7 linked regions of the Kluyveromyces lactis genome follow. The protein of the gene in region 1 purifies or fractionates together with the protein of each later gene. This does not show direct contact. Links are inferred from orthologs where the notes say so. Each region holds a gene or a part of one and is shown in the gene's direction. Other genes may lie near its edges. The genes, in order: TAF7, TAF13, TAF6, TAF3, TAF8, TAF5 and TAF12.

Evidence for each region.
Region 2: the proteins of TAF7 (region 1) and TAF13 purify together in Saccharomyces cerevisiae (affinity purification with mass spectrometry; 6 studies listed by BioGRID). This does not show direct contact. The link is inferred for Kluyveromyces lactis from reciprocal best matches to the Saccharomyces cerevisiae genes TAF7 and TAF13.
Region 3: the proteins of TAF7 (region 1) and TAF6 purify together in Saccharomyces cerevisiae (affinity purification with mass spectrometry; 6 studies listed by BioGRID). This does not show direct contact. The link is inferred for Kluyveromyces lactis from reciprocal best matches to the Saccharomyces cerevisiae genes TAF7 and TAF6.
Region 4: the proteins of TAF7 (region 1) and TAF3 purify together in Saccharomyces cerevisiae (affinity purification with mass spectrometry; 5 studies listed by BioGRID, with this or other methods). This does not show direct contact. The link is inferred for Kluyveromyces lactis from reciprocal best matches to the Saccharomyces cerevisiae genes TAF7 and TAF3.
Region 5: the proteins of TAF7 (region 1) and TAF8 purify together in Saccharomyces cerevisiae (affinity purification with mass spectrometry; 4 studies listed by BioGRID). This does not show direct contact. The link is inferred for Kluyveromyces lactis from reciprocal best matches to the Saccharomyces cerevisiae genes TAF7 and TAF8.
Region 6: the proteins of TAF7 (region 1) and TAF5 purify together in Saccharomyces cerevisiae (affinity purification with mass spectrometry; 6 studies listed by BioGRID, with this or other methods). This does not show direct contact. The link is inferred for Kluyveromyces lactis from reciprocal best matches to the Saccharomyces cerevisiae genes TAF7 and TAF5.
Region 7: the proteins of TAF7 (region 1) and TAF12 purify together in Saccharomyces cerevisiae (affinity purification with mass spectrometry; 5 studies listed by BioGRID). This does not show direct contact. The link is inferred for Kluyveromyces lactis from reciprocal best matches to the Saccharomyces cerevisiae genes TAF7 and TAF12.

The regions. Positions count from the first base shown.
Region 1 is NC_006038.1:736,647-740,674, forward strand, and holds TAF7 (TATA-binding protein-associated factor TAF7), read left to right. Parts: upstream 1-1,320; coding exon 1,321-3,528; downstream 3,529-4,028. Other genes in the region: MTF1 (RNA polymerase specificity factor), read right to left, coding at 1-844.
Region 2 is NC_006040.1:863,411-865,842, forward strand, and holds TAF13 (Taf13p), read left to right. Parts: upstream 1-1,452; coding exon 1,453-1,932; downstream 1,933-2,432. Other genes in the region: ARG81 (Arg81p), read right to left, coding at 1-886; ERO1 (ER oxidoreductin), read right to left, coding at 2,270-2,432. UniProt on the Saccharomyces cerevisiae protein: Functions as a component of the DNA-binding general transcription factor complex TFIID. Binding of TFIID to a promoter (with or without TATA element) is the initial step in pre-initiation complex (PIC) formation.
Region 3 is NC_006042.1:979,141-982,473, forward strand, and holds TAF6 (TATA-binding protein-associated factor TAF6), read left to right. Parts: upstream 1-1,282; coding exon 1,283-2,833; downstream 2,834-3,333. Other genes in the region: ARC40 (Arc40p), read left to right, coding at 1-464; DAD3 (Dad3p), read right to left, coding at 655-912; SLD3 (Sld3p), read right to left, coding at 2,874-3,333.
Region 4 is NC_006042.1:2,524,125-2,526,946, reverse strand, and holds TAF3 (Taf3p), read left to right. Parts: upstream 1-1,272; coding exon 1,273-2,322; downstream 2,323-2,822. Other genes in the region: RET3 (coatomer subunit zeta), read right to left, coding at 45-614; mRNA-binding protein RRP12, read right to left, coding at 2,515-2,822. UniProt on the Saccharomyces cerevisiae protein: Functions as a component of the DNA-binding general transcription factor complex TFIID. Binding of TFIID to a promoter (with or without TATA element) is the initial step in pre-initiation complex (PIC) formation.
Region 5 is NC_006040.1:143,440-146,992, reverse strand, and holds TAF8 (Taf8p), read left to right. Parts: upstream 1-1,364; coding exon 1,365-3,053; downstream 3,054-3,553. Other genes in the region: SCS7 (fatty acid alpha-hydroxylase), read left to right, coding at 1-649; FCP1 (protein serine/threonine phosphatase), read left to right, coding at 3,375-3,553. UniProt on the Saccharomyces cerevisiae protein: Functions as a component of the DNA-binding general transcription factor complex TFIID. Binding of TFIID to a promoter (with or without TATA element) is the initial step in pre-initiation complex (PIC) formation.
Region 6 is NC_006041.1:2,087,361-2,091,315, forward strand, and holds TAF5 (chromatin modification protein), read left to right. Parts: upstream 1-1,155; coding exon 1,156-3,636; downstream 3,637-3,955. Other genes in the region: GPI2 (phosphatidylinositol N-acetylglucosaminyltransferase), read right to left, coding at 3,824-3,955. UniProt on the Saccharomyces cerevisiae protein: Functions as a component of both the DNA-binding general transcription initiation factor complex TFIID and the transcription coactivator SAGA complex.
Region 7 is NC_006040.1:1,375,453-1,378,964, forward strand, and holds TAF12 (Taf12p), read left to right. Parts: upstream 1-1,476; coding exon 1,477-3,012; downstream 3,013-3,512. Other genes in the region: APC2 (anaphase promoting complex subunit 2), read right to left, coding at 1-86; NEDD8 ligase DCN1, read left to right, coding at 201-338, 428-1,195; snoRNA-binding rRNA-processing protein DIP2, read left to right, coding at 3,432-3,512. UniProt on the Saccharomyces cerevisiae protein: Functions as a component of both the DNA-binding general transcription initiation factor complex TFIID and the transcription coactivator SAGA complex.

The DNA.
Region 1 (4,028 bases):
GCCCCAAAATTTCAATCATCTCTTCTACTGGTTTGGATTTAAGGATCATTAACTTTTGCGTTACGAAATCCCAATGGTCCAAATCTATGCTGTGATCCCTAGGGTTGATTTCAACAAGTGAAAGATCGTCTGGACTTTTATTATCTGAGGGAATTATCACGGGATCAAACTTCTCTATGCAATCTGGAAGGAACTTTTTTACTGAGTTTTCAGAAGTCGCAACGAGCTTTGTATTAGTAGCTAATTCGGATAGAAGAGTAAGCCTGTTTCTGTCTTTGTTTGAAAATGGTGCGAATAATTTCCTTGCAGTTTGCTGAGGTATCCAAACTAACATCTTGACCAGACCAAATCTTTGCATCCAATTCTGGTTCGCTATACACTGCAAATATTGCACGTATAGCTGTTCACCCTTTTTATTGGTCAAATTGGCAGCGATCAAGAATTCATTGTGAATATGATCTCTTTTCTGCATGCTAGGAGTAAGGACTCTGTCTTCATTTGTCATTTCTAAAAATGTCTCCCATTTATATGGATTTTTATTGTAATTAACCATCGATGGGTGATCCTTCAAAGTTGCTTGATACAACTCCACAAATTTCAATCGATCCTCTAACAGGACATGCTTCTTTGGTTTCAGTCTTTCATTAAGTATGACTGATTGAATCAAAGGCCCGGCGTATATATCCAGTATTTGTAAGCTTTCAGACTTGTAGTATGATTCTAAATTCAACTTGTCTAATATTTGGTTTATTACCTTGGGGTTTTTCTCAAATTGACTTCCATAACTGGTATGAATCTTATTTGCTAGTGGTAGAACCGACTTCAGAAACGAACTCTTGGTCATGATTAGGAAAAATTCTGTAGTGTATTTGACAATAGAGAACGGATATTGTATATTGGAGCACAGAACTCATATAGAAGGTGCCAGTTCCATCCAATGAGTGCAGATCTGCTGTGACTTGTTTACAACTTTCATCTGGACAAAATGAAGCGATGAGTTGAAATATGAGCTTTTCCATTTTTCAATTCGGAATTTTATAGTGATGATGACGCTGGTGTTATAAAGACACCTAGGATAGTTGCGAACTATAAGCTATGATCATCAGAAGTTTCAAACTATTTTAAGTAGTTACTCCCTGATAGTATACAGTAGTACTTTAACATGACTTGCAATGCATTAAGCCAAATTCAGCGTTAGTCTGGACGTTTCCACGTGATCAAAACTCGCTTCAAATTACATAATGGAGGAAATCGTGAAATTGGAAATAATGTTCGACGGAAAATGTTTAGCTATCTAGATGTACAGTGAAAGTAAAATGAATGGTTGACCCAATTGGTGTGACACATACGACAAGGGGTCTCTCAAAAGACAGTAAACATTCAGTTTTAGTACAGTATCCCACAATGGGTCCGATAATCAGAATTAACAAACCCAAGGAGCCTGAATCAGGCGGTGGAACGGAACCTAAACTAAAAAAGATCAAGTTAAAGACTGGAGGAAGCAGTTCCAGCAGCAATAATTCCAAGCCTGCACCAAAGCTTAAAATCAAACTGAAAAAGCGTGATAATCAAGAGGATAAAGATATCAGCAATAATAATAATGTGGGCACTTCGAAGGGAAGCTCGCGGCCCATGAAGTTAAAAATCAATCTAAAAAAACGGGAAGATTCACATCCACAATTAGTGCCGCACTCCCAATCGCATCAGCAGCAGCAGCAGCGCAAAAGTACGAGTGTTGTCAAGACTCCTAAGTTCAGAATCAAACCTGTACGAGTTCCCGGTGAAGGGTACGATTCTGAGGCCAGTGATGTAGAGGATGATCCGCTAATCGAGGAAGGTATAATTCTAAGAGTATTACCAGATTTGAGTGCAGAATTCGTTAAAAACTCTATAGAGAGTGGTGATTACTCTGATGTCAGTATCAAATGGAAGGGTGAGAGACACGCGGTTGTGAAAGTGAATGGGGTGCAATATGGTGCTGTATTAGTCAACTTGCCAAGTATAATCGAAGTTAACAAGAGTGTTGACAGAAAGAACTTATTGAAGACGTTTGACGTTAGTCAGATGTTAATATGTGTTCGTACAGTGAATAAGGAAGAAGAAGTGTTTTCTTTGCAAGTAAGCGATACGGAAGATCTTACTAAGAAACATTTTGAAGAGTATCAGAAGGAAATTACCGAGCAACGGAAACAGCAACTCAGAGGGTACAATGGCGGCCCATTGACTGATGCTGAAAGTAAAAACATCGAACAAATCATAAACAAGCGTTACGATTATAAGCATGGTATCACCCCTCCTTTGTATAATGCTCGCAACCGTCGCTTCAGACATAGGATGGGACCAACTGCCTTTGATTATGTGGAACGTACTGTTGAAAAATTATTGAAATTAGATGCTGAAGCTGAAGAGTTCGGGTACGAGCTAGTTAATGAGGATGCAATTCAACAGCAAAGGTCTACAAGTGCAGCAGATCTTGCACATTATCAAAAGGCTGGTGAGCATATGGATGAAACATCTTCTGTTGGCTACAGCCAAGAGATCAAACCACATCATGTTACAGGTGCCGCGGAAGAAGATGAGGAAGAGGATCATGAAGAAGATCTTGAATTGGAATTGGAACAAGCTCTACAAACAGAAACTACTGATGGTTCTATACCGGCAAGCATGGTTAATGGACCGGCTGGAGCAGCGATGTCTACAGATACTGGCAGTGTTGTAAGACCAGGACAACTTCTTGAGGAGACCGGTGATGACGTTGAACAAGATAACGGTGATGATGAAGACGAAGAGGAGGAGGACGAAGAGGAAGAAGAGGAGGAAGAAGAGGATGAAGAAGAGGAGGATGAAGAGAACGGTGCTGATGGATTATCCGGATCAGTTACAACAGGAACAACTAAGTCACGTGTCTCAGACAACGATGGTGCTAACGAAGAAGAGCAACACAGAGAATTATTACTTGATGAATTGAGGGAACTAGAAAGTACGTTAGAATTAAACCGGAATAAAGCCAGTAGGACTACGAATCCGTTGTTAAAGACAAGATTCTTAGAAAGTATCAAGAAGCTTGAGAAAGAAGTTGAATTGAAACGAAAACAGTTAGGAGAACCAGTTGTTGTAGACGATGCAGGAAATGTACAGACAGCTCAAGACATCTCAGAAAACGTACCCGATACTGAAGCCGGTGCAGTATCGAACAAGGCCGCAATCAGAAATGGCAGCGTTAGTAGCGGTGGTAGTGGCGTAACCGGATCGGCATCAATTCCAAACAATGCTACGATTACCAATGGAGTGGAAAACATTGGTACCGAAGGGAATCTTTATGAGGAGGAGGATGAACTAGAAGAAGAGGAAGAAGAGGAGGAGGAGGAAGAGGAGGGAGAAGAAGAGGAAGAAGAAGAGGAAGAGGAACAGGAAGAGCAACGGCCGGACGAAGAACCGCAACAAGGACAAGAAGCAAGACAAGGTACTGAAGAACTTGATCAAGATGACATGGATATGATGCTTCTTTTCGGAGCGGATAACGATTAGGTTTGAACTGAGAGAAAAGAAACCACTAAAAGAAAAACAAAAACAGAAAAAAAATCAATACCCGAAGAGACAATAAGAGATACGTGATGATTTAGCATGTTATCTGAGTTTGGAATAGCATTACAGCTTCCCATGCTCTACAAGGGTGAACGATATGACTGAATGCCTGAACGAATGCGTGAATGAGTTGTGTAATCTGAATGTATAACTGAATTTATCTAGAAGCATTTTTTTTTTTTTTAAATTCTTTAAAGGGAAGTAGAAACAAGAATCAAGACAGGCAAGGAAGTAATGGATGGAGATCAATGGGAAACACGGGGCAACAACAAGAGGAAAATTACGAATGCGAACCTCTTCTCGTTTGCCGAAGCCTCTTGACGACGGCACACAAAGGGAAAGAGGCAGCAGGTGTTAAGAGGCACCTCACTTCGCCGTTTCTTTTTACTGCCTACAGAGCGGCTGAAAGAAAAAGGCCCTGCCATGTACATCTCAAAAAGGTG
Region 2 (2,432 bases), on another chromosome or scaffold:
GGAAGAGGAGCCGATAGACTCTAGCCAATTCGTCTTCATTATCGTTTCCAGATGTGCGACCGTCATTACAATTACCATTAACACTACCATTCTTTTTCCCCATATTATCTACTGTGAGAGGAGTTTGTGGCGTATCCGGTGTATTATTCTGACGAATACCCATAAATGGTATTGTTTCCCCTTGCACTGCGGACGCCGATAGTAATGCATCGTCCCGTAGTTCATTTGAGATCCACTCGTTCCCAGGAAACAACAAAGAATTCATATCGAATTCGAATAGGGAATGAAGCTGCTGCGCAGATGTATGATCATCATTAGCAGATGATGATTCCATATCTTCTGGAGTGCATAAATTTGTGCCCTCTTTCGAATCTGAATCAGCAGTTTTAACCTTATTTTTCTTATTAGCTAGTTTCTTCTGAGCTTTTTCGATGGCATTAATGAAAACTTGATTCTTCTTACGTTTCTTCCGTGGCACGTACCTTTTTTTGACCTTATCTGTGCCTTTGAACACACCAAATTTCTTTATAATCCAAGTCTTGTCTTCAGAGATGAGCTCTAAAGGAGGAGAGCTTAACGCTGATAATTCATCGTCCATATCCTCATAATACACATATTCCTCTTTGTACCGAACGAAATCAACGTTTCTTCTCTGATACTGAGGCTCATCTGGATCTTTGATTCCTGTAGGTGTTGCGGTCACATTACCCATAGTGTCAAACTGAATTGGCCGGGTCCACCGAAGTTTTACATCGTATCCTCCACATATTAACCCACCTTTCTCACATCGCTCACATCCGGGCCGCCGAAGATCACACTTTACTTTCCTTGATCTACATGTCCAGCATCCCGTGAACGTCTTCACTCTGGGCTTCGCAGGCTTCATTCCTGCTTGTATCCTCTTTGACTCACAGTCGCTGTGAAGGAAAAATAGCCTCCAATATTTACCAAACCTTCAATATCAACCACACGCAGATGAGCGTCTAAATGATGCCACTGTTGGAACAATAATATCTACTAAAACCTTATCTTGAGCGGTACTAATCGGTTTATTATCATTGCTCTGTTTATCTGATCCTCAGAAGATGCGATGTGGATCTGTCATGTCCTTTCCTCTGTTCGTCTTTTCTCAAAATTTTCACACAAGCGGAAGGGTTAGGCGATTTGTCAATTTCTTTCTCGCTAAAAAGCTCCCTATATAGCTTAACTGTTGGATGGACTGCGCATGATATTTGGGGACAAAAAAACGCAAGCGATTTTTTGCTGCGAAAAAAAAAAAAGCAAACTCGCACTATTCTTCGCTGTGTTTAAGTTGACAGTTTGACATAAAACTCAGAACCAGAATCAAAATCACGAAACAATGATCAAGCTATACAGTTTAGCTTATAGCGCATTCGTCCATTCCATGGAGTAGAGCTGACTAGTCGGTTGGAGTTCTAGATCAACACAGGAATGTCCAGAAGAATTCGTAAAACAAGTCTTTTCAGTAAAGATGTTGGCTCTTTGATGTATGCGTTTGGTGATGTCGCGCAACCTTTACCAGAGACCATTCAATGTGTAGACGAATTGGTGGTGTCTTATTTGAGCGATATATGTGCCAATGCGTACTACTCGGCTCAAACCGTGAAGAGGAATAAGATTAAAGTGGAAGATTTCAGATTTGTACTTCGAAAGGACGAGGTGAAATTAGGTAGAGCTGAAGAGTTGATTAAGATGAATAAAGTTATTACCGATGCCAGGAAACAATTTGATAATTCAGAGGGGAAATCTTTGAAACGAGTGAAAGATGACGGTGATGATGACCACATTTCGGCTGATGAAGATGAGGAGACGACAACGGTTCCTGAACCCGTTCCTACCTCACGTCCGGTAGGCAGACCAAGGAAAAAGGGAAATGAACCTCCTAAGAAGAAGAAACGGGAAACAAGCTGAGAGTTACATTCGCATTACCCCTAGCATATCTGTACTTGAAATCCTTCTCTTGCTGGGCAAAAGAAGTGAAAAAACAAAGCAATCCTCATATAAATTCTATCATTATAGTATTACGCCTTTCTGAACAAAATGCCATATTTATGCATACTTAGCGGCAACATATACGTTTATTTTTTCTATTAGCTATATATTAACCAAATGAATAGCTTATGAGAGGGTATTATTTGAACATAATCACCTTTATCTTCATAATTGGAATTTTCAGCTGGTTCTCCTGTAGTTCTTAATATCTATAAACAAATTGTCATATAAAATGACAATTTGAGAGGTTTTTAATCTATTCTTCGTAGTTGTAGGATGGATATTCAAGCTCCTCTCCTTCTTCGAGATAGTTTGGAACACCAATAAACTTGTTCCAGAGTTTATTGAGCTTTAGTACAGTGTACTTACTAACAGTGGAAGGTAGGTCCGTATAACTTGTTACGATAAACCGCAACGCT
Region 3 (3,333 bases), on another chromosome or scaffold:
CTTCCATCGATAAGGTCGCATTTGTCACCCACGATGGTTCCTTGAATATCACTGATTACACTGACGATATTAAGAGTGTAGACAACCCAGAAGGTCTTCCATTCATCACCTTATGTTGGATCAATGATCATGAAATTTTAGCAGCTGGTTTCTCAAATCATCCTGTTTTGTACAGCGAAGGTTCAAGGGGTTGGGAAGTGTCCAAGATTTTGGATAGCCCAGTTAAGAGTGCTGGCAAATTGGTAGCATCAACTGGGGATGATGAAGAAGAAGGTGCCTTCGGTATGTCCGCATTGAGAAAGTTCAAGGAATTGGATTTGAAGGGTAAAGTTAGCCAGCAAGAAGAGAAATCTACCCATGTGAACTCAATTACAGAATTGGCTGCTTACAAGGAATCTAACAACAACGTCACTCAAGTTTCTTCTGTTGGTTTGGATGGTAAACTTGTTATATACAAGTTGTAGATATGGACGGTAAACGATTCATCTCTTCATCAAATAGTTGATCAGATCACCCCTATAACTCTTACGTTCAGAGTGAGAATACAATAAAAAAGAGTGGCCTTAGAAATGAAATATGTATATCTATGTTCATATATATTAAAATGTAATGTTACAACTCTGATTATGATTACAATAATCAGTCCGATTCCGCTCATAGATCTGAAGGTTTTTGTTGGTGATCCATCCGTCGCTGTATCACGAGTGAATATACGCTACCTTTGAGAAGCGTACTTACAAGAGATATTTTCACTTCAATTTCTCGCATCTCTTGTAAAATTGCTTCCGGTTTTGAGTCCTCATGGGTGTTGTTTAGATCTGAAAGTGTTTCGCTCAATTCCCTTAAGGACTCCGCTAGGAAGCGATATTTATCGAGCACACTTCGCTGCAATGGTGTCAGTTCCGAAGACATATTCAAAACACAAATAGTATGTTTCTTTGTAATTTGTACGTAAGCCCAAACCAGTAATGGTTACCTTTGTTGCCTTACCTTACATATTCAATTGGAACTCTATCCGGTAAACTTATGATAACGTTATTTCATTTTTGGTATTTTCCAATATTGACGAAAAACATAAACGATCGAATCCTGAAAGAATAACAACTCCATCCTTCAAAGTAAGGAATACAAAGCCAACGATTTGAATACAACACCAGCGCTCCTCTATTGCACGAACATCCACTCGAAAACTCTAGTTTCAGGTGTATACACTGAAACAGCGATAAATTTTATTCGAGTAAACGGTATTCTTTTCTTTATTCATTTGTGTTCAATTTCAATAATGTCACAGCAGTCCTCTCAGCAACAATCTTATACAATTTGGTCCCCGCATGATACGGTGAAGGATGTGGCAGATTCACTCGGAATCTCAAATACAAATGATGACGTGTTGAGGTCATTGGCGATGGATGTCGAGTACCGTATTTTGGAAATCGTGGAACAAGCGGTGAAATTTAAGAGACACAGTAAGCGATCTACTTTGACTACAAGCGATGTTGCGAAAGCTTTACGTGTCCTTAACGTCGAGCCATTGTATGGATTCGAGGAAGGATCAGCGAAAAATGAGCCCGTTAAGTTCAATAAGTTGGAGGGCGCTAATGGGCAGACGCTTTATTACCTAGATGATGAGGAGATCGATTTTGAAAAATTGATCAATACTCCATTACCAGAAGTTCCAAGATTACCAACGTTCACGGCGCATTGGCTAGCGGTAGAAGGAATTCAACCTGCCATTCCACAAAATCCAAATATCAATGAACTAAGGCTGAGTCAAGTTCCGTTGCAAAGAGGAGCAATAGTCTCACCATTAAACGAAACTTCTGTTCAAACCTCTTTACAAACAAATGTCAATGAAGAAAGACAGGCCACCGCAAATGGACCTATCTCGACACAAGTGAAACCAGGTGCAGCAAGTGAAGCTAAGCCATTGGTCAAACACGTTTTGTCTAAAGAATTACAGATATATTTCGAAAAAGTTGCTAGTGCACTTACATCGAAGGAAGAAGATATCAATTCACAACGGATGAGAGCAGCAGCTTTAACTTCGTTGAAGTCTGACACAGGACTACATCAGCTTGTTCCATATTTCATACAGTTTATCGCAGAGCAGATTACTCACCATTTAGAGGATTTGGAGTTGTTAACTACAATGTTGGAAATGATATATTCGTTATTGAGTAATCAATCAGTATTTTTGGATCCTTACATTCATTCTCTAATGCCTTCTATCTTAACACTACTATTAGCGAAGAGACTTGGTGGTAATGGCTCGAAAAACTCATCTGACGACAAGATTGTTGACCAGCAAAATAAAAAAGAGTTTTTAGAGAAGACTAATGCTGTCCGTGATTTTGCTAGCTCTTTACTCGATCACGTCTTGAAAAAGTTCCCAAAGGTTCACAAATCGTTGAAACCTCGTGTTACTAGAACTTTACTTAAGACATTCTTGGATATCAATAGATCATTCGGTACTTACTATGGTTGTGTACGTGGTGTTTCTGTCCTCGGTAACGAAACAATAAGATTCTTTTTAGGCAATTTACAAAACTGGTCGAAACTAGTTTTCGAGGAATATGACAGAAGCCAATCGGAAGACAGCAAGAGCGGAAAGAACCTAACTGACTTGGAGATAAAATTATTGTCAACAGTGATAGTGTCCACTTTAGAGAACTTGAAATCTGATCTTCCATCTTCATACAACCCTTCTGGTGATTTTAGTGAGGAGGACAAAACTCGTTTGAGAGAAAGATGCGGAATTACTGTCGGCAACGTAATACTGGAAAGAGACGATGCAAAGACTCTATACGATGCTATATTTTTTGGTGAGCTTTAGACATCAAATATGTAAATATTGTAACGAATATACGTATTAACTACGGCGCAAATAATCTCCTACGGACGTGCCTGGTTTTAACCTTTACTGGCGATGCCCTAACTGGTGTTTCTGAAACAACTGAAGGGGAAGCCACCAACACTGGGGTGTCCTTCTTTTCCTCTATAGGTTTGATCGGAGTTGCTGTAACATGTATATCCTGCTGTTTATCATCAAATCCGGTTTCTGAGATATAGCTAGCAAGTTTACGTTTACCAACTCGTTGGAAAGAGTTATTATGAGATTGAGAGATATTGATAGCTTTTCCGTTTACCAAAACAGTTCTAACAGTGCTGAACTCCTCCAATATTTGTTGTCTTTGCTTGACAATATCGTCTAAAGAAAGATCTTGCACAGACATTTGTCTTTTTTGAAGGCGATTCAGTTTCAAATCCGACGACGACCTTGACGCCATTTTGGGTTTCTTCTTTGTTGTTTCCTCCTCCAAAAACTCTACAAGG
Region 4 (2,822 bases), on another chromosome or scaffold:
ATATGTGTCTGATTATAAAAGAAATCTGGAAAATGAGGAGAAGCTTACAAGCCCTGCTGTAATCTTTCAGCCAATTTACTCTTGGCAAAGCCCCACGCGCTTAGCAAACCCTTTTCATTCAATTCTATATTCAATGGGATATCCTTTGAAGGCGGTTTCGTCACTCTAGAGGCAATTGTGGCTGGATCAGTTTCTAAGATAATACCATCATCAATCAATTCATCAATTGCTAGAACCACCATGTCATAATGTTCCTGAACACTCCTCTTGTCAATACCTGTATCCAATATCAATTCTAGGGAATCTTTGAACCCGTTGAATGCTTCTTGCAAAACAATTTCGTTTTCGTCGATTGCACCGATCAGATATATCGAAACATCGACATATTCTCTGTAAATAACTAATAGATCGTCTGATATCATAATGTCTGAATTCTGCCCATGAGTTTTAGCAAATAGGTTAGATTCGAACTCTTTTTGCTTCTTTAAGCTGGATGCAAGAGAATCTGCAGAAATTTCTTCGTGTGGTGGATGGAAGTATTTCGAGTAAAGTCTTCTTCCTTCTCCATCCAAAATCAACACAGCTTTAACTGTGTATAGAGATAAGTTAACCATGTTGTTTATGTTTTTCTTCTTGGTTACTTCCAGGGTATGCTATTCGTGTTATTCAGTACTGATGCAATGGTTTACTGTCTCAGGAGGGAAGTGCTGGTTTGGCGGTACGCGAAAATTCCAAATTTGCAGTTGACAAGATATAGGACAAATAGGAACTGCGCTCGAGAGAGGCAGAATTCAGCTCTCAACCATTGCCCATTCCTGTAATTAGAATCAGTAGCCTTCTTTGGATGTCTTGTAAAGCTGTCCATGTAAAAAGCTCCATGGCAATGAAAGCCTGTTGATATCATTGAATACGGATTTATGCTCCAGTAACGCCAAACAGCAAGTGTTTGATCGAATCTCTTATCACGTGATTTGTTTCCGGGTAATGGAAAACACAGAAGGAACTTGTAACTTTTACTGTCTGATAAGTAGGTTAGCCATGCAAATACTATACATTAACGAAAACTGTCTATTGTGGGGTTCGTTCGATGCAGAATGCAACCAGTACTGAGCTTCGAGGACACTGATTGATTTACTAAGCAGTATTTACTTTGATTTATTTATCATAAGTTAAATACCGGCCAATTGCAAAGACTTTGCAGTATTTTGTATATTCTACGCTCTAAGCATTGAGCAAGCAAAGTGTTATTGCTTTACTCAGCTCCTCACAATTATGACCACTGATGAAAGTTTTTACTTTTCGCTGCTGCGAATTTCAATGATACACCTTTTAAGGGCACATGGCTTCGATAGAGCCAAAATGGGGACAGTTAATCTTTTTACTGATTTATATGTGAGATATCTAGAACTGATGATTCAAGAAATACGGAAACTTACTCTGGATCGCCGTGATTTAGATGAAGAAGTGTCCCTTCAAGATATTACCCAAGGAATGCTCAATATCGGCGTATTTAAACCAATGAACCTACTGGATGTTTACGATGAAAACCCGTCCGTGGCAGGCGATGAAGGTATGCAACAGTTTAAAAGATGGTTACTTCAAGATCCCGCAACAACAGAAGCACGAGTTATCAGTACCCCAAGTCCAGACCTGTTGAAAGTTGGTGATAAAACTAGTAAACCATTGTCAATGATTCCGGAGTATATCAACCAGCTGAATACATCGGACAAAAAGCCTAACGATGGAGATGATGAGACAGAATTGGTGGAAGCAATGATAAACAACGGGGATATGGATGACTGGATACAATTCATGTTGACATCACAAAAATTAGAACTTGCGAAGAGGAAGTCGGGGAAACTTCCTCAAGATCTCATTTCGTTACCGTCAATTCCTGGATTAAAATACTCTAAACTAAGCCGAAGTCGACCTATCATTACCAATTCATGCATTCCAGTTGGAATCGAAATTAACGAAGATGAAGAAGGAAAAGAGGAAAGTACTGAAGACGCAGCAGAGCAAATAGTTCTGAAAAGACTCATCTCAAAGTTACCTATCGGTAACCCAAATAACAAGTTAGAAAACATAGTTGTTTCATATGAAGATGAGAATATTGACGATTTACTTGAACCCCTCCATACGGAGGAAGATCAGCAAGACTACACCGATATTGATAAAACGGATTATGATTTTGAGACCTCTGGAACGGGAGGCTTAACTTTAGGCAATGTAGTTACCACAGAGTTAGACGAAATGGAGGACATGCAAAATACATTTGAAAGAAGGGCATCTTTGGATTTTGGACACGCATACGATATATAAATATAATTTGTTTAACACAAAATTAGTTCATGTTTACGACAAAACAATCGCACTCTCACTCGATTGTTTTCAAATCAATCACATGTAACAATCTTTTGGTTCCGATTTTGTCTATTCTACTATACATCTATATACAACTATCAAATTGATAAATGGGCTAGGGCGTTGCAGTGCATATCAGGTAAAAGTGATTTATAATCTCCTCTTGTTTTTAAATCTACCATTGGATTTTTTACCAATTCTTCCCTTTTCAGCTGGTTTTGTTTTTGGTAGCTTGGTTTCCTGTTCATCATCACTGAAATCATCCTCATTGCCAGCTCTGGATCCTTTTTTGAATTTTAGTCTGTTCTTTTGACCCTTTACTGGACCTTGTTTGACAGCATCTAAGTATGCATTAACACCACTGGTAATAGCCTCTAACGGATCTTCATTGTTATTTTCTCCTCTTCTCCTATCGTTTTTCATAACCAACTTACCTTCTGCATCAAAGCTGAACACTT
Region 5 (3,553 bases), on another chromosome or scaffold:
AGATCAAGTACACAGACCTAGGCACTACGGTAAGGGGTCAGCTCCACTATTTGGAAACTTTTTAGAGCCCCTTTCCAAGACGCCTTGGTGGATGGTTCCGGTCGTCTGGTTACCAGTCGTCACATATCATATTTATACTGCATTGATGAACATGAACCAGGCCTTTGCTATCTTCTTATTTGCCGTCGGTGTATTCGTGTGGACTTTAATCGAGTACGGATTGCACAGATTTTTGTTCCATCTGGATGACCGTCTTCCAGAGAAGCAATGGGCGTTTACCTTGCATTTCTTGTTGCATGGTGTTCATCATTATTTACCAATGGACAGATTCAGATTGGTTATGCCTCCTACTTTGTTCGTTGTGCTTTGTACACCATTCTACAAACTAGTGTTTGCACTACTACCATACTACTGGGCTTGTGCTGGATTCGCTGGTGGTATGCTAGGTTATGTGTGCTACGATTTGACACATTACTTCTTGCACCATTCACAATTACCACCTTACATGCGTAAATTGAAGAAATACCATTTGGAGCATCATTACAAGAATTACGAGTTAGGTTTTGGTGTCACCTCTTGGTTCTGGGATAAAGTGTTCGGTACTTATCTTGGTGAAAACGCTCCATTATCCAACATGAAGTATGATTGAATTAAATAATTCACTATACGTGCCCACACAACCCTTCTATCATTGTTATTCACACTATTATTATTTTTAAACTCATTTTAACGACGATAGGAACTCTTCCTCTCCCAGTCTACACATTTTTCAGCATTAACGCTCTTGTTTCTTTCTCTCTCCTTCCTTCTCTCTGTAACAAAACCCGAGAGAGTTTGATGGATACCACAAACGTCAGCGATATATGTCCACCTGAGGATATATTTCCACCAGATCTTCCATTTCAATTCCAAAACCAGTGATCCATCTCTTTTGATTGTCTTTGCCAAGAACAGGTTCTATTCTTATGATATCGTTATTAGTATTAATATCTTTTTTTATCTTCTGTTTTAACTCCATATACATCCAATACATAAATTGATACAACTGCTTCAGCACAACTATTTTAAACATGTTCGCCGGGTTGTTTTCGTCCACCTCGTGTAACTTTATCTACTCTTGATGTTATTAACATCAGTTCACGCAAATCACGTGAAAATAATAACGGTATTACCCGAACGTTATGCCATTCGAAAACTCTGAATGAATGAGTTGAAGCATTGAAGTTATTGCGAGAGACGTCTCCAAACGCTTAGCTCTTAAGGGTTAAAGCAATCAATCAGTTTCATCCTATGGGTATGAAACTGACCGAATAGTAAAGCACTCATACAATATTAAAGTACTAGTTGGCTCTTTGAGACTGAATATGACGACTTCTGAGGATAAAGATAAAAACGATGCCAAGATAGAGACTGACCAGAGACGTGTGCGACTAGATAAGTTACCTAATCTAAATGAGGTACCTCATGCCAATCCGATGGAACGCTTGTTTGCACAGGCCGTACTATTGCAATTGAAGACACTTAATAAGAATGTGGTTATATCTCAATTGGCGTTTGACGATCTTTGTTATGTTTCATTATTACAGTTAGATGATTTATTGCAAAGTCTGAAGAAGATAACTCAAGTACAGCGAAGGACAAAGATCTCCAAGCTTGATTTGAACCTCTACTTTAAAGGTATTGGTATGGATCTGAAAGATTTGAATGGGCAAGTGGAAATATCGAATTTTGTACATGGGAAATTCAAGGACGAGGCTAATGCCTTGAACGAAACTGTGCTAAAGGTTAAACAGCAGTTCATGAAAGAATTGGAAGAAAAAGAGCTTTTGAGTTCTAAACATTCAGAGTTCTTCGTGCAAGATGTTGATATATTAAATTTGTTACCTTCGAGCAACAAATCTAACAAATATGTGCCCAGTTGGTTGCCAGAACTACCGCCTGATCATACGTACAAATTTACCTCGTTGTACAAGAGACCCATTACAGATGAGAGGCTGATGAAGAAGAAGTTACTAGAAGAAGGAAGGCTTTCGGAAAAGGCATTGTTGAATATGCTTAGTCAAGTTGTCAATCAGGACCCACTGGTAGCGCTAAATAAAGATAGCGACCAGTCTGCCAACAATGCTGCCCTTTCTGAACATATTAAAGAAAGTCAGTTAGAAACCGATTTAATCTTTGACCCTCATAAAACCATACCTACAGATAAAGAATGGGGTACAACAACGGTCCTTCATGGCATCGAGTCATTCAATCTTTCGCCAGTGAAGAATTTCAATGTGTTAGAATACTGTAAGAAGAGAGATGCAATAGTAAAACGAAGGGCTGAAAGGGCAGAAAACCAAGTATCGAATAAGAGACGTAACCCATTCATACGAGGTGCCATGATCTGTTCACCCTACGGTCAAGGGAGTACCAAATCGAGGAAGTCAGTTGAAAATCAATTGAAAACAATGCTAAGGCGTAGTTACTTGGGGCTGATAGATTCCATACCGAGAGTCAAAGAAGTACGAGAAAGAGCGAGAAAAGAGGCAGAAGAAAGAGAGAGACTTTTACAAGAACAAAGGAGAATAGAAAAGGAGAAGAAAATGGCCGAACAAGAGATTCTTGATCTTAATAACCTACAAACTGATCCCCTATTGCATGGCTGGGACAAAGACAGCGAAGATGATGACGAAAACGACGACGAAAAATTTCTGACGCAGGGACCGCCAGAGGTACAAGCAATAACAGATACTAACATTTCAACTCTGGGGGAGTTGGCTTCTGAGCTGTTGCACGGACCAGATGAAGAAAAACCGATGGAAAGCACAGAGACTTTTGAAGATGTACTTCCGTCAATTACCCCCGCTAATTCGACTCCTTTACTTTCAGAAGTCGCATCGGGATCCGCATCAGGTCTGACGCCGAAAGATATATCGGAAGATGCACCAGAAGCAGGATCAGAAGAAGCTAAATCAGAATTAGCCCTTCATACATCACCGGGAGTTGCCACAGACGAGTTGCTAGAAAATCAATCACAAGATCACGATTCTAACGTGAATGATTTATTCTGATATATTTTGACTTTCATTATAAGTAGTCATATTAGCTAATGAATCAAAACTATGTACATCATAATTCGTATAGTCAGTAACGTTTGTATTCTCCTAATGCTAATCAATGTAACACCACTCATACACGCGATGCAAGAATACTTCATGCTGTGTATGTTCTGTTTACTTCTCTCTTCATATCTGTTTATCCATTATCGATCGAATTTGAATTTAAATAACAAACATTTCTGTTAAATAAAAGCCAACGTGAAGACATAACAATGAATTTCGGAGTTGCAAGAAAGGGAACGGGCTGTCAAGCGGGATTCCAAGCGCGGTAAGATGTCACTCGAAACTAATGTGAAGGTGACCAGTGACCTACCATATCCCATCACTGTTGCGCAGTTGTACGTAAAACCGGGTGATCACGTTGAAAAAGGCCAACGATTATTTGCTTACGAGTATTGGGATTTCCAGGACGTTCTGGTGAAGTATGAGGAGAAGACTAAGAAGCAGCGGGT
Region 6 (3,955 bases), on another chromosome or scaffold:
TGCACTAGAAACAAACGCTTTTTTGGCAAATCTAAATCGACGTACAATAGGAAAGATTATCCTACTCACAGACCTACTGATTCACTCACGCAGTGACTCAACGGCGTATGGCTTTTCTATAGAAGAAGCAGCTGGCGTTTTAGAACGGTTTGCTAGTGTATCTGATGGGCCTTGCGATGAGATGGAGCAACGTTTGACGATGGAAAGACAAGTATCAGAACTGAGAAGAAGGCGAATTCCTTTAATTTTCCAACTTTCGTGCTTGAATTCTTGTTTTTTTTCCCAACTTCACCGTTTCATTGCTGTTCAACTTCGTCTCCTGACATTAGTGGAACCCCAATGGGATTATTTTTACATGAACCGGGTAACGAAATAGTAAAATAAGGGCAACGTGACTTATAATTTCTGTTATATTACAGACGCGGCACGCATTACCTCCAATTGCCACGTCAAATGAAGGTACCCCCGTAGTATGTACATTGGTAACTGGCATCCCGCAAAATAAGCATCCCTTCTTTGGAAGTTGAAAAACACGAATCCAGATCCAATTACTGGACTCCTACCCCTGGATGGAAAAACGAAAAGGAAGTCATTTGTGGGGGGTATGGCTTTGGCATCGTGAAATAGGGATCTTCATTTACCCACCCAAGGCCACTGCAAAATTCCCGACCCTTTAAAGCCTCTCCCCACTGTTTCTCTGTACACATATATTTTATACTGGGTTCTCTAGATATGTAGCTTAACTGCGTTCTGCGAGTAAAAATTAAAATAAAGTTCGAATCGAAGTCTAAAAACGTGCTGTGGACTCCGGGGCTGTTCAACCTGTTACCCGGAGATGTACTGAAAAGATAATTCTTGAATCCGTAAAACGTGACCTTTAATTCAGATCTCTAAATGCCAGTTACTTTGTGTCTGAGAGTAGTTTCCAGGTTGAAAGTTGAATATGGAAAAAAATAAAACTGAAAAATGTGAATGAATAAGTAAACAAATAAACAGCAAATGATTGCTAAATCATTGCCTTAGCAAGCTTGAACTATACCAGTACTTGAGCTTAGGAGTAAGCTGAATAAGGAACTAGGTATACTTGCTTAGCCTTTTAAAAAAAAAAAGCGTGAAAGAGAAGAACCTCTTAGCACAGTTTCCGGCTTGCTTAATATGTCTTCGAACGGCAAACAACAGGGAAACAAGGCAGGCGATGCAGCTGGGGGAGCGTCAGGAGCCACGGCTCCCGGTGCAGGCGGAAGTAGTGGCAATGGAAATAGTAGTGCGGCCGGAAATGCTAGCGCTAATGCCAATGCTGGCGGTAGCGGTGCCAGTGGGAATGCACCGGCAGCTTCTAAACCGGGGTTTTCAGCGTCAGATTTGAACCGCATCGTTTTGGAATATTTGAATAAGAAGGGGTATCACAGAACGGAACAGATGCTTCGTGCTGAATCGTCACGTACTTTGACGCCTCCAAATAAAAACGCTGCTGCTTCTAACACAATCCCTGCCTCGTCTGCATCAGCCACTGCGATTACAGGAAGTACTACCACTGCAAAACCTGTTTCAAATCCTTCGATGCCCTTGAAAAGAGATAACAACGGCCAATTGATAAAACCGCAACAGGTGACACCCTTGCACTATTTTAGAGCTTACTCAATGTTGAAAAATTGGATCGATTCGTCTTTAGAATTGTACAAACCTGAGCTATCACGTATCATATACCCGATTTTCATTTACGTTTTTTTACAGTTGGTCATCAAGGACCCCTTACAAGCGAGAAGATTCTTTGACAAGTATTCTGTCGATTACAAAGCCCTTCATGGATCAGAAATTAACCGATTATTCAGTGTCAACTCAGTAGATCACATCAAGGAAAATGAGTTGGCTCAAGGTTTCCAAACCAATAAATATAAGATCACAATCTCAAGAACTACTTTGAACCTTTTGTTGTATTTCTTGAACGAAAACGAAAGTGTGGGAGGATCTTTGTTGATTTCCATCATAAACCAAAACTTGGATCCAAATATCGTAGATGTTGTCAAATCTGAGGATATTCTCACCGACGGGATCAAAGATATCTCAACCGGTGATATTGATGTTGATACGTATAACTCGGTACCTGTGAAGTTAGGACCGTATCCAAAGGACGAAGAGTTCACCAAGGAAGTAGAGATTGAGTTGCAGAAAAAAGATGAACAAGAGGCAGCTGAGAATAAGGATAAACCTGTCGGTAAGACATTAGTTGAGGAATATAGAGAAATGAACGGTAATCAGAACAAACCAGAGGGCACTGAAAAAGCTGATGATAACACCGTTAAGGAAGAAAATGAAAATAAGGAACCTGAAGCTGAAGAGGGTGGAGAAGAAGTCGATGCAACAGCAGATACAGAAGAGAAAGGCACTCCTACACTTAGTGTCGAATCATCGGCTGCTGAAAGAAAGAAAAGAGACTCAAAGAATAAAGACGAGGAAGAAAAACCAGAGGCTTCAATTGGATCTATGATGGAATCACCAGCAAAGGATTCGTTGCCGCTACCGGTAAAAACAACTTTAGATCTAAAGATGGAAATTCAAAAAGTAAGGGAGAGTAGAGATTCCATCCAATTGAAAAACCTACAAACTTCTGCACCAAGTGTGTGTATGTACACTTTCCACAACACTAATGGTAATATGACTTGCGTAGAATTTAGTGATGATGCTAGACTAACTGCAGCTGGTTTCCAAGACAGTACAATTAAGGTATGGTACCTTGATGGATCACCGCTACAGTCGATCCTCCCATCCAAAGCTAAAGACCAATCGAACTCTGCTACTTTGGTAGGACACAGCGGACCAGTTTATTCCGTTGCATTCAGCCCGGATAACAGGTACTTACTTAGCGCATCTGAAGATAAAACTGTCAGACTTTGGTCTTTAGATACGTTCACTTGCCTAGTGTGTTACAAAGGCCATAACCATCCAGTATGGTACGTCAAGTTTTCTCCACTTGGCCATTATTTCATCACCGCTTCACATGATCAAACGGCTAGACTATGGTCTTGTGATCATATCTATCCGTTGAGAATTTTCTCAGGTCATCTAAATGACGTGGATTGTAGCACTTTCCATCCAAATGGTTGCTATGTTTTCACTGGTTCCAGCGACAAAACGTGCCGTATGTGGGATATTCAAACAGGTGATTCTGTTAGACTGTTTTTGGGACATACATCACCAGTCACCGCACTTGAAGTATCGCCTGACGGTAGGTGGTTAACTACGGGCAGTGAGGATGGCACAATTATCGTATGGGATATTGGTACTGGTAAAAGAATCAAACAGATGAAGGGTCACGGTAAGAATCCTATCTATTCCATAACTTTTAACAAAGAAGGTAACTGTCTAGTAACAGGTGGTGCGGATCAAAGTGTTAGAGTTTGGGATATAAAGAGGTTTACAAACGAGCCTGGAATGGAGCCGGAACAACAATTCAACACGTATTCAGGAGATATGGAACTCAGTGTAAATAACGATATCAAAGAATTCGGACGTAGGCGGGCAGTAATACCAACTCAGGATTTGATGGCTTCGTTCCATACAAAGAAAACAGCAATTCACAAAGTAAAATTCACAAGAACGAACCTAGTTTTGGCTGGTGGTGCATTTATTGAGTAAATGCGATTACTTTACTCAGCCAGATAAGGGTCGTTTATTCGACATATCTAGTAGTTGTCCAATTGTAATAAATAAAAAAAAAGAGAATGCGCTTTATCTTTATATTATTTACAATGAGTACGTATATTTTATGTGCATTGATATCAATGCAGTCAATGAAATGTAAATGTTAACAGAATCCTAATAACTAATCTAATATTGGTTTTTCAGCGTCCCACTGCTGTAAAATCGGATGTCCTTTATAATAGTAGCTTTCCCAGTGGATATAGTAATGAGGGATTCCAAATAATAGTAACAAAGATGATATTCCCAAAGGTAT
Region 7 (3,512 bases), on another chromosome or scaffold:
ATATCTACCTCTTCTTCTAAATTCGAAGCTAGGTTAAGTAGAATTTTCTCATGAAGTAATTTAAGTTCGTCATCAGTCTTAGTCATTCGGTCAACGGTGCTGGGTCCCTTTAGTCCTGCTTCTCATCACTTTTCACTATGACCATTACGTTTGTTGACATATTTTAAATATACAGACAAGTTCATTTTAAGTGAAATTACATGTTTTACTTCATATTCGTTTCGAGTTTTAGGGTAAAGAAGAAAGCAATCTACTCGCGACAAAACGCCAGAGCAAGCGATCATTTACTCGTGGATAACAACCCTTCAGAAATTTCATCGTATTGTGTTTTTATAATGGTATGTTTTTTACTATGCCTCTACCCTCTGGTCAGGTGAATGACACCTTTACTAACAAATGCTAATCAAATAATCATTTGGAAAAATAGGAGAAAGAGTTCATGAACCTCACAGGATGCACGTACTCTGTTGCACAGGAATACCTTCGAAAGAATGGAGGGCGTGTCGAGTACGCTTTGAACGATTATTATGATAATGTGGATACCATTGGAGGTATGCGTCAATCTTACAATCCCAGTTTAGTGGCTATCTTTGAGAAGTACTCGAATGGCGTTTCGGCAACAGAATGGGACTCTTCTGGGCTAATACGGTTTATTGAAGACCTCGGTATATCGATAGAGGACCCAATCACGCTATGTCTTTCTCAAATGCTATGCATCGACGATTTAACAAAACCAGTATCTCGAGAACAATTCCTAAATGCCTGGTCAGATTTATGTTGCGACACTTTAAGAAAGATGAAAGCCTATTTACATACGCTAGAAGAGAGACTGGAGACGGACAAAGATTATTTCAAATCAATCTATTCCTACACTTTCCCATTGAATACAGACGAGGGATCTCGTCATTTACCTAAAGATGTCGCAATAGAATACTGGAATATTTTCTTTAAAGACAATAAATATGCGTTGAAAATCTCCAAGGAGAGACTTAATTCATGGCTTGAATTCATCAATTCTGACGACTCGGATCCAAGGAAACAGAACATCTCAAACGATATATGGTTGATGTTCTATAAGTTCATTGAACAATACCCCAATGACGAAAGTTTAAAACAAAACTATGATGAAATGGCTGCTTGGCCGCTACTTATAGACGAATATTACGAATTCTTGGAAGAAAATGACAAGCTGTGATGCAGCGCAAACACCTATATCGCTTATGAACATATTCATAGATACATATATTCATATATACGCATTGTGTATGTTGTCAGGGTAACACTTGTCTTCCTATTCCTTTCAGCATCAAAATTCAAAAATATTTCAAAGATCAACAAGTGAATAACAATCGAAAGTAGTTGCCGCGAGGTTAAAGCAAGGGCAAAACGGGGGCAAAGAAGGCCAGCACGAGGGTATTTCGACACTTAAAGTGGGCTTGCGGTGTGCATTTCGGATTACGAACCAAGATACGGACAATGTCAGGCCAAGCAGGTAATGTACAGCTGCAGAACCTCACGCCAGCTTCTATGCAGCAATTGGCGGATAGACTAAAATCGTTAGTTAACGAAGCTAAGCGAATTGGTGTAGATACCAAGGAAGGGAAAGAGCTATTGAGACAAGCGGCCCGTATTAAGGCTTTGTACGAGGCTTACAGTAAACAGAGGCAGCAGCAGGCCCAAGCGCAGGCTGGAGCACAGGGAGCTGTAAATAATAATGCCACGAATGTTAAATCCATGGATCAGCAGCAACAGCAGCAGCAACAGCAGCAGCAACAACAAGCTACCGCCAGTTCCAATAATGTGACGAATAACATAAAGGTCTTATTAACTCCTCAACAGCGTGAAGCTTACAATAGATTGGTTCAAAAGTATGAGGATGACGGTCAGAATATCAAGGGAGAATTCAACTTTTTGAAGAGAAATATTAGTGTTTTGGACCAAGAGATCAGGAATAGACGAGGTAACAGTCTATCGGTGCAGCAATTAGAGGTTAACAGGAATGAATTATTAATGAAAATCAGGGCATTGAGTGCCCAGTATTCGACATTACAACAGAAATATCAAGAGGACAGAAGAAAGTTTTACATTGAGTGTTCTCAAACTAATGCTGACTTAAGAAGATATCTACAAGCACAGCAACAAAAAGCTAATGCTGCTAAGTCACAGGGTACAGTAGCTGCAAATGCAGGTACACCGGGACCTCAGGCTGGTGTTTCTACTCCAGGAACCAACACCGGTACACCAATTCCAACAAGTTTGAATAAAGCTTCGAGTGGTAGTCCTCCAAATGCTATGGCGCAAAGACAAAATATACCAATTCAAAAGACCGCTGCAACTACTGCAACTGCAACAAACGCAAACCCGAGCTCAGCAGCTGCCGCACCAAATAACACAGCTTCTGACAAATCGTCCCCAATGCAGGTGACAACGGTGAATGCAGCTGCAAATCAAACAGCACAAAGCAATACAAGACCACCAATCTTCAAGCAACCAAACCCATCGATACCAATAAGTGAAAATGTCACCGCATCCCCAACAGTTTCAGTGTCATACAGAAGCAACAGACCTACGATAACAGGCGGTAGTGGTATGAACGCGCCAGCGCTAACTACACCTGTTATGACCAAACTACCGCCATATGAGGTCGATACTGAGCGTGTGATGTCTAAAAGAAAGCTCCGTGAACTCGTCAAAACGGTGGGTATAGACGAAGGTGATGGTGAAACCACCATTGATGGTGATGTGGAAGAGCTATTACTCGATCTAGCAGACGATTTCATTACTAATGTTACGAATTTCGCCTGTAAATTGGCAAAACATAGAAAATCCGATTCACTCGACGTAAGAGACATCCAAATGCATCTGGAACGTAATTGGAATATCAGAATCCCAGGGTTTGCCAACGATGAAATCCGTAGCACCAAGAAATGGAATCCAACCCCTTCGTACAATCAAATGGTAAATGCAATCAATAACAATAAAACTGCACGTACACATCCCGAAAAGAAGTGAAATGGATAAATTACCACTGTTTAAACAAGTTCATTCATTCAAACAGACTTAATTTGATGCATATATTATACATCATATATCATATATCTATTAATGTAACAATTCCTCAAAATATTGAAAATGGAGAAGTGGATGAGTACCTACAACAATGCATAATCAAGTCCAGGGAAACTGATTCTTAATACTCTTTGTCCTATTCTGCCTGTCTCATATATGTATAAACCACCCTTTTCTTTTTCATGGCTTCAAGTTGTATTTTTCAAAATTTTCCAAAACGTTAAAAACTATGGAAGGTCATCTCATCTCATCGCATAATGCTGTTCAAGAACAAGTATAACAAAACTTATATACTATAACCCTGTGTAAGATATCAGTTATTGCTACTATTATCCGCAGTGTGGAGTTTAAATTGATACACAATGGTTAAATCGTATCAACGTTTTGAACAAAGTGGTCTTTTTGGGTTAATTTCTACTTCAAATCAGTCGATCTATCTTCCA